Xenopus tropicalis: one gene and its partner. Each later gene encodes a partner of the first gene's protein in a complex. Links are inferred from orthologs where the notes say so. Each region holds a gene or a part of one and is shown in the gene's direction. Other genes may lie near its edges.

Evidence for each region. The genes of interacting proteins can lie anywhere in the genome.
Region 2: nhp2 (region 1) and gar1 share a complex: the UniProt entries of both Homo sapiens proteins name them as parts of the H/ACA small nucleolar ribonucleoprotein (H/ACA snoRNP) complex. The link is inferred for Xenopus tropicalis from reciprocal best matches to the Homo sapiens genes NHP2 and GAR1.

Annotation. Positions count from the first base shown.
Region 1 is NC_030679.2:47,807,131-47,811,174, reverse strand, and holds the start of nhp2 (H/ACA ribonucleoprotein complex subunit 2-like protein), read left to right. Parts: upstream 1-1,244; 5' UTR 1,245-1,303; coding exon 1,304-1,451; intron 1,452-2,637; coding exon 2,638-2,707; intron 2,708-2,796; coding exon 2,797-2,902; intron 2,903-4,044. UniProt on the Homo sapiens protein: Required for ribosome biogenesis and telomere maintenance. Part of the H/ACA small nucleolar ribonucleoprotein (H/ACA snoRNP) complex, which catalyzes pseudouridylation of rRNA.
Region 2 is NC_030677.2:68,656,226-68,660,422, reverse strand, and holds the start of gar1 (H/ACA ribonucleoprotein complex subunit 1), read left to right. Parts: upstream 1-1,397; 5' UTR 1,398-1,458; intron 1,459-3,987; 5' UTR 3,988-3,988; coding exon 3,989-4,181; intron 4,182-4,197. UniProt on the Homo sapiens protein: Required for ribosome biogenesis and telomere maintenance. Part of the H/ACA small nucleolar ribonucleoprotein (H/ACA snoRNP) complex, which catalyzes pseudouridylation of rRNA.

The DNA of each region.
Region 1 (4,044 bases):
CAACGAGCCCATGCGGTCCCCGAGCCGACTGGATTTTCTAACCTGGCCGATCGATATCTGGCCAATTTCAGGCCAGATATCGGTTGGCCAGGCTGCTCGTTTCTGCCCACACACAGGCCGATTAGCTGCCGAATCGGTCCAAGGGACCGGCCCGTGTATGGGGGCCTTTATTCTTTGCAGCTTTCAAATTGGGGTCACTGACCCCGGCAGCCAAAAGACTATTGCTCTGTGAGGCTCCAGTTTTATTTTTATTGTTACTTTTTATTCCTCATTTTTCTATTCAGGCCCTCTCCTGTTCATTTATCATTTGTCATTCAAACAGCTCCCTGGTTGCTAAGATAATTTGGACCCTAGCAACCAAATTGCTGCTGAACAAAAAGTGAAACTAAAAAACTAGAAAGAATAAAAATGAAGACTAGTTGCAAATTGTCTGAGAATATTACACTCTACATCAGGGTTCCCCAACCTTTTATACCCGTGAGCCACATTCAAATGGAAAAAATTTTGGAGAGCAACACAAGCATGAAAAAAGTTCCCGGAGGTGCCAATGAGAGCTATAATTGGCTATTTGATAGCCCCTATGTTGACTGGAAGCCTACAGAAGGCTCTGTTTGCCAATTACACTGGGTTTTATGCAACAAAACCTTGGCTCCTAACCATAAACTCATAAATAAGCACCTGCTTTGAGGCCACTGGGAGCAACATCCAAGGGGTTAGGGAGCAACATGTTGCTCATGAACCACTGGTTGGGGATCACTGCTCTACATTATACTAAGAGTTAACAGAAAGGTGAACAACCCCCTTTAATGGCAATTTTGTTTACCAGACAAAAACGTTATGGTGTTTCTCAGGATGAGAATTAGCTGGATATATCAAAAGAGACTGGAGTTTATCGTTATTTAGGACCTTACTCCTAAAGCGCAACGAGGGTCCCGGTATTATGGGTATTATTTATCGTTATCATTGCAGATTGGACTCTTTCCTGTACTTGTATCTACCTCACCACTAGAGGGCTTTAGGTCCTTCCCTTGGAAAGAAACTATCTCTCTAACCAATGATTAATTTATTTCCTTTCTACTATAGATATTAACCATACATACAAACTATACACCACAGTAAAGTCAATATTCTCTGCAATACCGCATATTCATGGCCGGAAGTTTTCCTTACGCAGAGACTAGAGCGCAAGTCACAGATTGCTTTGCATATGCCCCTCCCACCGGACACGGAAGTGCTCAGTTGTGCGAGTGTGCGCGGTTACACGTGGTTGTGCGTTGAGCCTGCTCGTCTGTGATCTAGCGAAATGACTAAAGCAAAGAAGGAGGAATCGGAGGAAGTGCCCGAAACGCCGAGCAAGTCTTACGATGAGCTGTTGGCGTATCTAAACCCCATCGCTAAGCCGCTGGCGGGCCGCAAACTCACCAAGAAACTATACAAATGTGTAAAGAAAGGTACCATGCTTACTTCAATGGCCGCTGGCTCTTTCAGGCGAATGGTGGGGCTGTAATTAGAGTTTAACACATCCCGTGAATTGTTGTTGGAGCATCTTGTCTGAAATGTGTTTTAAAAGCGATAGCAGTCAGTCCGGCTTCTTGCGCACAAATGTGGATACAGTCACTGCGATGTACAGCGATTATAAACTTCGACTTCCGCTGAAATCCTGTGCAGGGATTCAGTAGAGGCTTTTAGCTAGTGACACTCAATTCACAGGAATATGTTCAGTTCTTTTAAAAGTGAGCTTTAGGCATAATTTCTAAAATCTAGTGCTAACATGAATGAAAAATATGCAATAATTCCTAATAAGCAGAACTATAACGGCTGAAAGTCAGCCAAAGCTTAATTGCTTCCTGTCACTGTAAAGGGATGTTTGAGAGGTTTCCCCATTCATAAACCCTGCCACCAACTGTGGCTTCATATAAAGCACTGCCTGCACTGTTATGGAGCCCTTGTGAACACTTGACCCCCCCCTCCATTTTATTGTGAACCAGTGTCACTAAGATTCACCACAGGTCTGCCATCTGAGGGCCTAGAGCAGTGATCCCCAACCAGTGGTTCATGAGCAATATGTTGCTCTCCAACCCCTTAGATGTTGCTCCCAGTGGCCTCAAAGCAGGTGCTTATTTTTTAATTTCTGGCGTGGGGGCAAGTTTTGGTTGCATAAAACCCAGTGTAAAGCCAAACAGGGCCTTCTATAGGCTACCAGTCCACATAGGGGCTACCAAATAGCCAATTATAGCTCTTATTTGCACCCCCATTTTCCATGCTTGTGTTGCTCCCCAACACTTTTTCCATTTGAATGTGGCTCACGAGTATTAAAGGTTGGGGATCTCTGGCCTAGAGCATTTAGAGAGCTCACAGCAGGGCTCTCTGGTTGCCTGCAAGGGACAACTGCAAAAAATGCAGGACTTGCTTTCTTAAACATTTCATCAATAAGACCATAAATACTTGTCCATTAAATGATAGATATGCCTTTTACTTAATCTGCCAGTAATAGAGGTTTTTGAATTCACCGCTTTCTGAAATATGTACACACTGTAATAATCAGAAGCATAAACAATGCCATTCCGTTCAAGAGGTTTTTGGAAGAATTACTACAATATGGATGTATCCTAAAGATCCCTCTATTTTCCCTTTCAGCCATAAAACAAAAGAATATCCGCAGAGGAGTGAAGGAAGTACAAAAGTTCATCAACAAAGGAGAGAAAGGGTAAGAACACTTATCCTTTTCTGAAACATCAATTAACCTCCACGGTAATAGTAGCTTACTGTACAGTTCTGACTTCTGAATATTTTTAGGATTGTAGTAATGGCTGGTGACACCCTTCCCATTGAGGTGTATTGTCACATCCCTGTAATGTGTGAGGATCGCGGCATTCCTTATTCATACGTTCCATCCAAATCAGTGAGTATTCTTTTTCCTTCACTTTTCTTCTAAACTGACAGTTCATTTCAGTGTGTACCAGTGGTTGCCAAAAATGTGCTGAAAAAGTCATCCTCGGCTTATACTCGAGTATATGGTTTTGTAATTCGTTGTGCACGCACGCCCACTGTGCGTACGCTCGCAAATCCCGCCCCCCCCCCGTACCTCCCTCTCCGGCCGCTGCAGGCAGAGGGGGCTGTGAGCTCCAGCAACCGGCTAGCTCACTCAGTGCCCCGGAAGAGACTGCGGCGCTGTGCGGGTCGCCCTGTGTAACTTGATCACTTCTAGCTCCGCCCACTCCACATGTAATAAGGATTTGCTTGTGAAGATATGAAGTACAGGAGACCCCCTACAAGTTGCTAGAACATGGTGTTATTATTTTAATTAAAAAAACGAATTTTTAGAAAGCACTAAGGGGTCTTATAGCTGTTTCAAAAAAAAAAAAAAAAATGGGGGATACCAGGTTTCCAGATAAAAAATCATATACAGAAGCATAACCATGGCAGGGTAGAGGGAGAGTCCTGGGAGCAGACATGCCAATAATTCATATATAATTTGATATGATAGATTTGTCATATCAAATTATATATATATATCGGGGACACACCTGACTATGTGGCTACAGTGAGGGTATAACTGCCCTTGGGAAGTGTTATCTTGCTCCTGGCTCGGCTCATGTTCCCCTCCTGCCTACATATTAATGGCCTCCTGGGATGTGTAGTTCCACAGAAGCTACTGCCATTCTGGCTGAGCACTCTCACAAATAGAAGCTTTGCTGTCAGTTGTGCTGGGAGACATGCTGCATTGCGATGGGAGCACACACAGCAGGATGGCAAGTACTTGATACTTAGTATGGCAGCTTCCTTAGCCTTCCCAAACTTGCCTGACTGTTAAAAAAAAAAAAAAAAAAAAAACTTAGCAGTAGCTGCTGCATTTCCCACCCTAGGCTTATACTCGAGTCAATAAGTTTTTCCAGGTTTCTTAGGTAAAATTAGGTACCTCGGCTTATATTCGGATTGGCTTATACTCGAGTATATACAGTAAATAATCTTTTAGTACACTTAAGGTATGGAGATCCAAATTACGGAAAGATCCCTTATCCAAGAACCCCCAGGTCCTGAGCA
Region 2 (4,197 bases), on another chromosome or scaffold:
CCAACATCTCAGCAGAGGAAAAGTGTGTGGGTCCCCCAGAATTTCCTTACATACACAGGGTGCTGCCCCCCCCCCCTTCCACATTTCATTGCAGGCACAGTGTACAGTAGACTCCCTCCGCTATACATTTCTTATGGACTGCCTCAATGCTGCCCTATCCCAGGCCAAGCAAAAATACTATAATACACTTATAAATAATAAAAACAATCCATGGTGCTTGGTTACCATATTCTACTCACTTCTTCATCCTTTACCAAATAAATCACTCACGTCTAAACATAGCCCCTGGAACTTTGCTATTTTAAAAGCAAAGTCAATTCTACCCGCAAACAATTTTCTGGTACTTTTCTATCTTTAAAACAGCTGCACCCTCCACTGAAACATCCTTATGTAGAGTTGCAAATGATCTCTAGATGCCAAGGCCAAAGGACACTACCCTGTTCTCATTGCCTGGACTTATCCTCTGCTTTTTGATACTCTAATGCAAATTAGGGATGCATGAATCCAGGATTCAGTTAGGGATTTGGCCAAGATTCTACCTTTTTCATCAGGATTCAGTCGAATCCATGGTCCTGGCCAAACCGAATCTTTAAAAGACATGTCAATCCCAAAACTACATTTTTGCCCAATACAAAAAAAACATAATTCTAGGCAACCTTCCAAAATGAATTTATTAAAGATTTTCAGTGCTTTAAAAGTTATTTGTAAATGTAATTGTCATTAATTGGTCAAGTCCTGTGATTAAGGGCCAATGTCCAAACCTTGTGTACTTTTGTTCTATGTGCGAGTAATTTTGTATATTTAGAAATAGTTATACTATACCTCCACCCCCCAACACACACAGAATTATATCTGTATCTGTATAGCATTTCTTTTCTCCCATTGGGCTAGTTAAATCCATAACCAGTTCAGCTTTCCCATATTTCTTTTAAGTGTGTTACCCTCCCACTCTCTAGATTTGTGCCTTGCTGCCAAAAATAATTGGAGAATTATTACTCATGATTATTTTATCTACTTGCTAGCCCCATCCCCAAAAGATTTTTTACATACACCCAATGGGATTAATTCAACTGCTTTTCGATGTAAAATCCATTTTTAATGGGGTATTTTAGTTCAGCAACTGAGTTCAATTACAATACCAAGCGGTACCATAATTACTGGCTGCTCGGTAATAAGCTAAATATATGCGTTATTTTCTGCGGTGCGTCCAGCTTTGCCTTTCCCTAACCAAATCACAGAAGCTCTCATTGACTCCATTCATTCAGTTCAGTAAATGGACACAAACACGTAAGCGCGTTTCCTTTAATAGCCGCGCCGTTTGATGACGTGAATGCTGTGCGCCCAAGTACGATGTACGCAGTCCACGTGTTGTTGAGTCGGAAGTGGTGGGAACGTGTGCCGGAGTGTACTCTGGGTAGTTTCAGAGTGCCGCATGCAGGAAGCCAAACGCAACTAAAGGTAAATGTAACTCATTGCTTAATTGAGGGTAGATACGATCTGTCATGGTCATTTTAAAACATGCATTTCATTTTATTTGTCCAGTCCAATGATCGTTGAGATGAAAAGTAAGGGTGTACGACTGCTATCCTGGGTTTTAAAATACTGTTCTCTAGCTCGGATCAAACAGATGTTGAGCCTGCATGGAGGGCTGGAGGTTATACTTCCCTGTGACGATATTCTTCCACTCTGTGCTTCACCCCTGATCATTACAGGTCACTAATTCATGTAACATTGATTTTAACATTATTATACATCCAGGCCCTCCAGTGCTATTTGGTCAGATAATATTTTGTCATCCATTGCCTGGATTTAGTATGGGGATCATGGAGTTATGTCATTGCTTATATACATAAGTGATGGGCACATGAAATGATTTTCAACTAATACTATGCTTACTATCAAAGTGTGTCAGGGGGTTGTTTAAAGTTGCAGTTCAGTTCATCTTCATGTAAGCAAATGTTTATGGCAGACAAATATGGGCACATTTATCAAAGTGACAGTGCAAAAACTGTTAAACTTCTGTGCATGATTTTGGAAGCCTCCCATAGGACTCAATGGCACTCTGCAGCTCCGACCTGGCCCAAGGAAAGTCTCCCATAGGGCTCAATGGCACTCTGCAGCTCCAACCTGGCCCAAGGAAAGTCTCCCATAGGGCTCAATGGCACTCTGCAGCTCCAACCTGGCCCAAGGAAAGTCTCCCATAGGACTCAATGGCACTCTGCAGCTCCAACCCGGCCCAAGGAAAGTCTCCCATAGGACTCAATGGCACTCTGCAGCTCCAACCCGGCCCAAGGAAAGTCTCCCATAGGGCTCAATGGCACTCTGCAGCTCCAACCCGGCCCAAGGAAAGTCTCCCATAGGGCTCAATGGCACTCTGCAGCTCCGACCTGGCCAAAGGAAAGCTACGATAACAAAGCTTTAATAAATTCCAAAACTTTCGTACTCGTTGCGACAAATATGATTTTGTCGTACAAATTGTCACAAAGAATGAAAAAGTTGCACAAATTAACAAGAAAATCGCAGAAAATACGCACCGTTCTAAAATTTTGAAAAAATATGAATTTTTAGTATTCAGACTCAATCGTACATTGATGAATGTGCCCCATAATGTAACTAAAATTTTTTATTATTCTGTTCGATTTCCATTTAAATAGTGTTACACTGATCACAGAGGTTTGACATGACTACTTAACTGTGTGCCCAGACTACCTGAGATTCAACAATCTTTTACCCGTTAAAGAAATCATTATTTGGTTGCTTGAATGCATGGCTAAACTGTATGATTTTTAACTGTTTAGGTGACTTCACCTAATGGAAAACTATACCCCCAAGCAATTAGGTCTCTATAAAAACATATTGCATAAACAAGCTCATATGTAAAACCCTGCTTCATCTGAATAAACCGTTTTCATAAAAATATACTTTTTTAGTAGTATGTGCTATTGGGTACTCCTAAATAGAAAATTGCCATTTCAAGAATTAAGGGCTGCCTCCTGGGATCATAAGATTCACAGTGCACACAAACAAGCCAAGGCACACATGTATTCAGTGGACAGTTCTGTCTTTTGCTTCCACACTACTTCTTGTTACAGTTGCATTATTTCTGGTCATGTGATCTCAGAGGGAGCACACAGCCCATCACTAAATGGTGAATCAAGGGAAAGGGCAATATTTACTGATAAGATTCTTTAATAGCCTACTTAGCATATTATAAACTATCTGTTGGTTAGGTATTCATTCTGGGGGGTATAGTTTTCCTTTTAACTTTGCACTATATATTCCCCCCACAATGCAGCAAATATAGATTCTAACTCTGTACTGCACCACTGTAGGATTAGTACATTAAATGAGCTTGCCCCTGCATAGCAAAATGCTACCTCGAAGATAGTATTCTTTGTCAAGCATGGTAATGCATGCATTTTGACATCTGTTGGTAGAAAACTAGGAGTTGTAGTCCAAACACATATGGAGATCTTCGGGTTACTTATTGTTTGGAAGAGTTTTGTCTTTATGTAGTTCAGTGACACAATCTCTATTTAACATTTATAAATACCCCATTTTGCTTATCAATTTGAAGCTGAAAAAGTTCCATGAGACATATAGGTATGAGATGCATTATCCAGAAACCTAATATCAGTAATCAGCATTATGTGGGAATGCCATTTCCAATAGTGTCCAATTTAACAAACAGTTCATCACTTCTCATTGATGGTAACGAGACTCGCATAAATATATGATGAGCACAATACAGTCCTTTTTTTATTTAACAGGCTGCTTATCCAAAAAAACCCCAAGTCTCAAATATCCCAAGTAGCACCTGTACATGTATTTGCATAATAATTTTAATAGTGTCCTATAGGTTATTGGTATGGGTAATTGTAAAGCCACCCTACTGACTGCTTAAAACTGACATATGTTTATTGTTTCATTACATTTGACTTTTATTGATGACTTAAAAATCACTGCTCCAACTATTCTTTCAATAAGGATGTCATTCCGAGGGAGAGGAGGCTTTAACAGAGGTGGAGGAGGAGGAAGAGGAGGTGGTGGTTTTGGAGGAAGAGGAGGTGGCCGTGGAGGTTATGGACAGGGTGGTGGAAGAGGTGGGTTTGGAAGAGGAGGCGGACGTGGAGGCTTCAACAGAGGAGGATATGACCAAGGTCCTCCTGAGAGTGTTGTTGGTAAATATATTTATAT